2 linked regions of the Tribolium castaneum genome follow. The protein of the gene in region 1 interacts with the protein of each later gene in a pairwise test. Links are inferred from orthologs where the notes say so. Each region holds a gene or a part of one and is shown on either strand. Other genes may lie near its edges.

Region 1 (3,389 bases):
CGGACAAAATGTACTGTTTGTGCAGATAAAAGGAGTGATTTTCGACTCAGCGCCCGGAAAACGTCGCGTTCTGAGTCTGTTTCGGGCCATTTCGGCAATTTTGGGTGGAAGGCCCCTTTACAATATTCCCGCTTCAGTCCTCATGACTATGTTTTTGTCTATGATTTGGTTATACGAGGTGCGTTCGCACCAAAAACTTTAAATATTCCTTGATTTATTATTGTAGGTTGTTAGCAATTACATCAGTCCGAAAAAAACGTTCCAATCGAACCCGTTAGAAAACTTGAAAGATGATAAAAACAACTGTCCCCAACATTTTATCTACTCGAAAAAAGACATTCTTATTCCTTATACGGTAACCATCTTAACTATTGTAGCCAATCATCTTTTTTTTTTTTTCAAGGATATTGAATATTTCGCCAACTATCGAAAATCTCTGGGTATCGATGTAACAACTCTCTGTTACGAAACAAGTCCTCATGTTAAACACTACACCGAAAATAAAGAAAGTTACGTGAGTAGCGTATGCAATTTTTTAAATAAATGCCTAAATGGCACAAATTAATTCACACAAAAAACATTTCAACGCTTAATTAAACTTTAGGGTACAATTTATTTTTCTAGACGTTGTTGAATTGCACAAAATGTATTTATTTCAATTGTTTCATTAAAACTATGTTCCCAAATGATCTGCTTTATGTTGCGCCACTGTCCCGCATTTCCTTTCACTGTTACCATAGCTACATTGACGCATCACCATAGCAATATACACGTGCAGCTCGTGCATGATGTATTAAGGAGGTTTTCAAACACAAAAGATTTTTTAAACAAATATATTTAGAAAATAGTCATACTAAACACGATAAACCTAAACCTAACCGCTTATTTAAGGATCGGCTTTATTGACGTATCAACCTTTTGCAAATACGGATGTAAAGCGATTTTTTTGGCCGAAATCCTCTTGGCCGGGTCATAAATCAGCATTTGTTTCAACAAATCTATAGCGTCGCTAGTCATATTTTTTACCTGACTTTCCAAAGTACATGATTTCCAATTAGGGAACGTAACCTTATATTCAGGTAATGTGGACACCCCTGGCCAGATTTCGTCGCTTGGTGTTTTCAAAACCCTGAATCGAAAAAAAATGCAAGTTGTTTTCGTTTCTATAGTTACATGATTTGATTACCGAAAAATGCGGAAAAGTTGGTCGATTTCGGAGTCGCCTTGGAAAAGGGCTTTTTTGTTGGCCATTTCGGCGAAAATGCAGCCCAGAGACCAAATATCAATAGGGCACGAGTAACGTGCAGAGCCGAGGAGCACCTCGGGGGCGCGGTACCACAAAGTGACAACTTCGTGCGTGTAAACGCGAACCGGGACCCCAAAGGCGCGCCCTAGTCCAAAATCGGCCACTTTGATAGCCCCTTCGGAGTTGATGAGCAGATTTTGGGGCTTAAGGTCGCGATGAAGGACTCGTCTTTGGTGGCAGAAGAGAATGGCTTCGTTGATTTGGTAGAGGTAGCTTTTGACGAGTTGGGGGTCCATGTAGGAGCCCTGTGGGATGGTGTCGAGGTACTTCTTTAAGTCCATTGACAAAAATTCAAAAATTAGGTAAAGACGATTCTCTTCCATCATCACGTCTTCCAGGGAGACTATATTGGGGTGTGTGAGCTCCTTCAGGAGGGAGATTTCGCGAATGGCTGTGGAAGGCACACCTTCGTCTTCGGGTTGCAGTCGGATTTTTTTCATTGCGACTAGCTGACCCGTCTTCTTGTTTTTGCCCTTGTACACCACACCGTAAGTGCCTTCACCAATTTTTTCGATCTTGAGGAAGTCATCCATGTTGGCCCCCTGTTTCGACATTGCCCCAATATAACCAAACTTTCCACTTAAAATGACGTTTATAACGTCAAATTGCAATGCCTACACGACCACAAACACGATATTTTATTCAAAGCACACGAGTTTTGTTAATTTTTACACACTTTTAACGGCTCGTTTGAAGAAATATGGAGAAAGTTCGTTGGAGATTTTTGAACCAACCAATCGGGTACAATTATCCCCGTCTCTATCGCACTCACGTCAATCACAATAACCTGTCTTTTTTTTGGCGTAAATAGACACACATTACCAACTTCAGACACACAAAATTACTATACGATCGCCAAATAATAGCTTTGGCCAAAAAATGGGTGTTAAAATCCTTTATTATTGTTGTATAATAATTACAAAATCAAGCATTAATACGTGAATAAAATTACTGACAAAAAAAATCCATTTAACCTTTCAAACTGCTCATTCCGGCTCTCATTATTTCATCAACCAACAATAAATTGCTTGCAATCACCGAACACGAATTAATTATTTGTTTCTTCACGATGTAATTATCGAAAATTCCGGCATCTTTCGGATTAATCGGTTGTCCTGAAGCTAAATCAAGCCCAATTGGTTCCTTATTGTTACGAGATTCTTCTTGAAGTTTTACAATAGTATCCTAAGAACAACAAATAACTATAAAACAATCAATGAGAAAATCACACAAACCTGAGCATCGAAACCAGAATTCGTTGCCAAAACTTTGGGAATTACAAGAAGGGCTTCCGCGTAAGCACCAATTCCAAGACGCGATTTTCCTTTAACGGTGTCCTTGTAAGCCATCAATTCTTTGTGGGCGGTCACCTCAAAAGCCCCTGCGCCTGAAAAATATCACAAAAAACTGTTTTGTGTGCAAAATCAATTTGAATTAAGCGCTATGACATTTAGTGATTTTATTGGTACGGTTGGTAGCGAAACAATTGGCGGTGCATCAAATTTCGTGATGGCCGCTTACCGCTTAGTAAATTCGGGAAAAATCGCTGTTAAATCGGTTATTTCGTGCAAATGTTTGTGCAAAAGTGTTCAAAGACTTTCAGTGTTCCGATGTGTTGATCTAAACGGCGATTTTCAACATTGACAAGTAAGTACCGAAGTTGGGTTTTTGGTGATGGGAGTAGTTGAAGCAACTCGTAAATTCAATTTTTGAGCTCTATTTTAAACGGAAAACGCATTGTGAGTCTAATAAATTAACAATTGTGTGGCCAGGTCAGGTCATTGACCCCTATTTACAATTTCAAAGCCTAGTAACGCACATTTTTAAGACGCGTCACAAAATGACTGTGACGTCATCCATTAAGCAACTAGATATTTTGTTAATTTCGGGAAATGAGTGAGTTTCTGACTGAAAAATAATGCGCTGGAACCTTAAAAAAAGTTCAAAAATAATATAATGCTGGGCTTAATTTTGTAGTTTTGTGCAAATATGCTTGAAAAACGGCCTAAATTTAACGATAGTTTAGATTTTTTACAATTCTTGACTACAAAATTTAAAAAATACACAAATTTGGTGATTTTTT
Region 2 (4,594 bases), on another chromosome or scaffold:
ACAGATGAAGACCTTTCAGAGGATGACGACTGATTTTTACAATGTAATCAAAGAAAGACTTAGAGATAGCATTTATGTAGTAAAATATTAATTCTGGTCATCTCTCTTTAACTGGATTCGACATTATTTTCAATGTTAAGGTTTTGGGCTGTATTTATATTTGTACCATAAAGTGAAATATTTACTTTGTTTTCGTCCATACATCCCCGAACTACAAATAAATCTAACGTAATTAAGCTAATGAAAGGATGCAAGGTGAAGAAAAACCATTGACATTTGTACCAATAACACGAAATGTTTTATTCAATTGAACGAGCAATTCTCCTGATGTAACTTCTTACGTAAAAACGGCGCCTAAAGTTCAAACGTTAGGTAATAATCATTCAATGCTTGTGTAACTTAAATTACTCATTATTCAACATAAATCAACAAGTACAAACCATATCTTGTCGATGTCTTCATCAACCGTAATAAAATTTGACGAAAATTTACTTAATGCCACACACGATAAAAATTAATATAATTTTAAAACAATAAATACATCTAGACAGACCTGGACTTAAATAATGCGAATAATCAGATATAAAAACTCACTTTACGAACAAGTAAAGCGTCAAAAACTACAGACATTTACCCATCAATTGGCCTAAACAAACAATTCTTCGTTACTTATTAGTGGAATCTTGGCTACTTCAAAGAATATCTTATGGGAATACTTATTTCTTACAGTCATTAGCGGACTTTTCGGCTTTTTGTGTAACCCGTCGTTTAGTAAAATCACAACTTCTTTAAAATCTTCAAGTTTGTAGCCTGAAACAACAAAATGTAATACGTATTTTTTTGAATTAAATAAAATAAGCACCTGAATAAAACTCTAAGGCGGTCGTCCACCCACTAATTTTCTTCATCTTGAGCGCCAGATACAGTGACGCTGAGGCCAATTTTGAGTCGCGTACAGTAACAGTGGCATAATCCATCAGCGAATATTCTAAAATAAATCTTGCGAGGGTGAGCACAGGCATTGTGATTTTGGCACACTGAAAGTAAAGTTGGGGTAAAACTTTAGGGATATGTGACGAGTTGTTACTCTAGCGTATCTCCTGAGAAATCTGTAGCTGATTGGAATGCCCAGATTAAAATCACAGACTTTTAAAATATTTATTTCCATTCGGACGAGCTCCCGGCACGTGTATGCCCCATCACAAATGTACAAAAAGTCGTTGATGGCCGGCGGAATTCTTTCGTCGTATTTACTAGCTATGAACATGGAAGCTGCGCCCACTAATTGCAAGGTCTCTTTGCCGACAGTCATCCGACTTAAGTAAAAATCCACTAATTTTACTCCTAAGTAAAGCGTCTCGTGGTTCAGTTCGAAACTTTCTTGCACTTCAACCATCCAGTCCACCAGAAGCGACCGCATCCAGCTCGTGAGACAGACTTGTCTGTCCATGTAGTCGGCGATTTCAAACTGCGGCTAAAACACGTAATTTTTTCTACCAGCGGCCCAAAAAATAATTTTAACACTTAAATTAAATGCATTAAACACCGAAAATATGCAGCCTTTCTTTGGATTTTTACAAAAAAAAAAATCTGACAACAGTTGATTTGTAATAAAAAAGTACCTCTCGACTCTTCATGTAATTGAAAATGTCCATGGCGTAGTGGGACACCTGGTGCACGTCGTCCCAGTTCTCCTTATCAAAGTCGGGCACTCCCTCGGGAACTTCATGAATGCCCAGATTGAGTTTGTTCTGGAGCTGCTGGGCCACGATGGACACCACAGATAGGTTCGGGGATTTCTCATCACTGGGGGGCGTTTTCGCTTTGGCTCCGCTGGAACTAACGGAATCATTGCTAAAACCATCCCTCATTACGCGAAAAAATCTGCTTTGGCGCGACTTACAGTTCCTCCAACGCTGACGAATAGAGAGATTCTTCAGTCTTTTCAAACTCGTTGCTCAGTCTTGTCTTGATGCGAGGATTAGAGATCTCTTTGAGCGCTTCTTTGGGTTTGACTGCCGTCTGGCCAGTCGTCACGTTTTTCACAGCAGCCCTAGTCACCACCCCGTTGAGACAGGGGGCTTGCGGGGGCAGAACATTCTCGTTCTGCTTGGGCTTGAGCACGGTTCTCACCGAGGGCAGTGTTTTGACTTGAACGATCGTCTTCTTCGCGGGCTGTTTTAAAGTGGCTTTCTTTTTATCATCGAACTTTTTGTTGTTGGTGATGTCACCCATTGCTGATCGTTTAACATTTTCTTTGACGGGGGAAAAGTCGGCTTTTCGTTTTGGGCGGATTTGGGCGTTTGTCAGGACTGATGACCGGCTTCGGGTGGAAACTGAGGCTTTTTGGTTTGTACGGATGGCGCCTGTGACGGCTCTGCTTAGGGGCTTCAAGGGAGCCATCGCAATGTTCTGGAAAAAGGGACCTTCAACAGGGGGCTCTCAAAAATGCACCGTTACGTACCTCACTCACAACTTTCATTATTAATTAACAGAAATGTCTCGGGTTATTTGTGTATGTGTGTGATGATGAGTCCCTTTTGAATAAAATAAAAATTTGGTGAAGAAAATCAAATGTCAACTCCAGGACCCCATAACCCATGTTAGTTTTACGCCCCAAAAATGCTATTTATCGAATTGATCGCTAATTGAGTAAAGCATTCGCTACGTTTTCTCTAACTTTGCAGTATTGTAAACAAAACTACACCCTGTTTTATCTCATCTGCATTTTACCGCCTTTTTTAACCAAACCCCTTTCATGCAGAAATGTGGATTAATATCCACATTCGGATCGTTCCTAAGCTTGCAATCACGAACAAATTTCAGAAAAAACCGCATAAAAACTGTTCAAGCAAAAAGTTCGTTAATGTCGCCGCTTAGAAAAACGTTAGATTATGAATTAGAATGGTGTAAAAACTAGTCAATGAAACAAGTACCCCCAAGAACGAGAAACTAACGACCACTTACCTCCTTAAAACTTGTAAAATTGCTTGTAGAAAAGTGTAGAAAAGCTTGTAAAAATTCACATGTGAAGTTCGTTGATGTTTAAAGCTTGTCGGCTTGCAGTTGTTTTGAAACGTTTCACTGCTTCGTCCCCATTGGTAGTTAAATAAAATAGAAGGGATGAAACAGTGGTGGTAAATTTGAATCGTATATATTGATAATTTATTTGCACAAACTGGAGTCGATTCCACACAAAAAAGTTAACGAGTGGTTAAAGTACAGTAACACTTGGTTCAAAATTGATAAGTTGTGTTAAACAGGATTAAAATTGTAAATCTTTTTGCATTTAAGTTGTACGACAGACGAGGCCTCTGCTGGTGACTTTCAAAAACGCGATTTGTAATTTATGGAAAAGGTTTAATTTATTTATTTAAGTGAAAAGTGTTGATTTTGCCCAGATGTATAAATTCCTCTAATTTTTTTGCATTTTTTTATGGTACTCAACTAAAAAATGTTTGAGGGATTATTAACTGTCAGATACGTAACCTCAAAAAACTGTTTCTGTGTCTTGTCTGTTAATAATTTCAAACATTTACAGAATGTAAGTATTGTCTCGTGTCCGCTAAATTAATATTGTCACGACTGATTGAAGAATGTCCTCAAATTGTCCTACAATGACAATGAAGCAATCCACGTGTCCGTTGACCCTTTATCAGGATCAGTTGATGACCAAAGTCTTGGTATTAATTCGTTATATGCGAAGGCCTTGGGCCTTGAGGACAATTCGTTGGTTACTGTTTCTGAAATATCAAAACCTCCAACAATTCAGAGTGTTACAATAACGGCCGTTGATAGTAATGACCATTTAGTTTTGGTAATTACTTCATCTTCTTATCTTGCATTTTATAATCATGTAACTTCAGGAATCATTAGCTGAAAATGTTCAGTCCACTTTGCTTGAGCAAATTCGTGTTCTCACAAATGGACAAAAATTTGTCATTTGGATTGGGGCAACAATTCATGTAACTGTTACTGTCTGTAAGTCGCTTACAGTCACTATAATAATGTGCCCATTCCTCCCTCCTTATAACTATTATTCAATTAATTGTAGGTGATATTAAACCAATTTCTCCCGGCAAAATTGATAATCTGACCGAAGTCGTAATAATAGCACCAGAAAAAAAAATTCATCCAATTTCGAACAGCAATGAGTCTAAAAACACAGACAAAACATCAAAGTTTCTGCCTGAATGTAAAAACAATGATGAAAATTTAATTTTGCGTATCGTGCCTTTTGAAGAAATAGTTTCGCAAATGCGCGATTTAAATTCTCCATTTAACGTTTTTGTGTTGAGGGCCAATGTCCCACAAAAAATAAAAGACACAATAAATAACACCACATTGTTTTTACTAAAATTGTTGAGTAACGAAGACGTCGACAAATCGCTTTACGTCAGATTAATTATTGTCGAGGACGTTTTAAGCGATTTTGTCCAAAATAAATTGTGCTTAGAGAATGTATTTGTCAGCAATACACTTTTTACTCATTTGAATTGTGAAGTTGGGGCACGAATTCGACTAGAACCCCACATCAGTACTTTGCCAGAAATCAAAGAAATAGAAATTTACACAAAACGGGATTATTCAATTG

Evidence for each region.
Region 2: the proteins of Cdk1 (region 1) and CycB3 interact in binary tests that used the Drosophila melanogaster proteins (3 or more experiments, as listed by UniProt). The link is inferred for Tribolium castaneum from reciprocal best matches to the Drosophila melanogaster genes Cdk1 and CycB3.

Annotation. Positions count from the first base shown.
Region 1 is NC_087401.1:17,534,424-17,537,812, forward strand, and holds Cdk1 (cyclin-dependent kinase 1), read right to left. Parts: upstream 2,069-3,389; 5' UTR 1,861-2,068; coding exon 1,187-1,860; intron 1,130-1,186; coding exon 883-1,129; 3' UTR 816-882; downstream 1-815. Other genes in the region: transmembrane protein 53, read left to right, coding at 26-178, 227-355, 404-565; CCT6 (T-complex protein 1 subunit zeta), read right to left, coding at 2,276-2,491, 2,542-2,693. UniProt on the Drosophila melanogaster protein: Plays a key role in the control of the eukaryotic cell cycle. Required for entry into S-phase and mitosis.
Region 2 is NC_087398.1:2,984,426-2,989,019, reverse strand, and holds CycB3 (G2/mitotic-specific cyclin-B3), read right to left. Parts: upstream 3,108-4,594; 5' UTR 2,968-3,107; intron 2,538-2,967; 5' UTR 2,483-2,537; coding exon 2,465-2,482; intron 2,413-2,464; coding exon 1,904-2,412; intron 1,855-1,903; coding exon 1,623-1,854; intron 1,475-1,622; coding exon 1,088-1,474; intron 1,038-1,087; coding exon 863-1,037; intron 811-862; coding exon 647-810; 3' UTR 504-646; downstream 1-503. Other genes in the region: translocation protein SEC63 homolog, read left to right, coding at 1-33; uncharacterized protein Pex1, read left to right, coding at 3,455-3,544, 3,596-3,817, 3,867-3,981, 4,055-4,594. UniProt on the Drosophila melanogaster protein: Cyclins are positive regulatory subunits of the cyclin-dependent kinases (CDKs), and thereby play an essential role in the control of the cell cycle, notably via their destruction during cell division.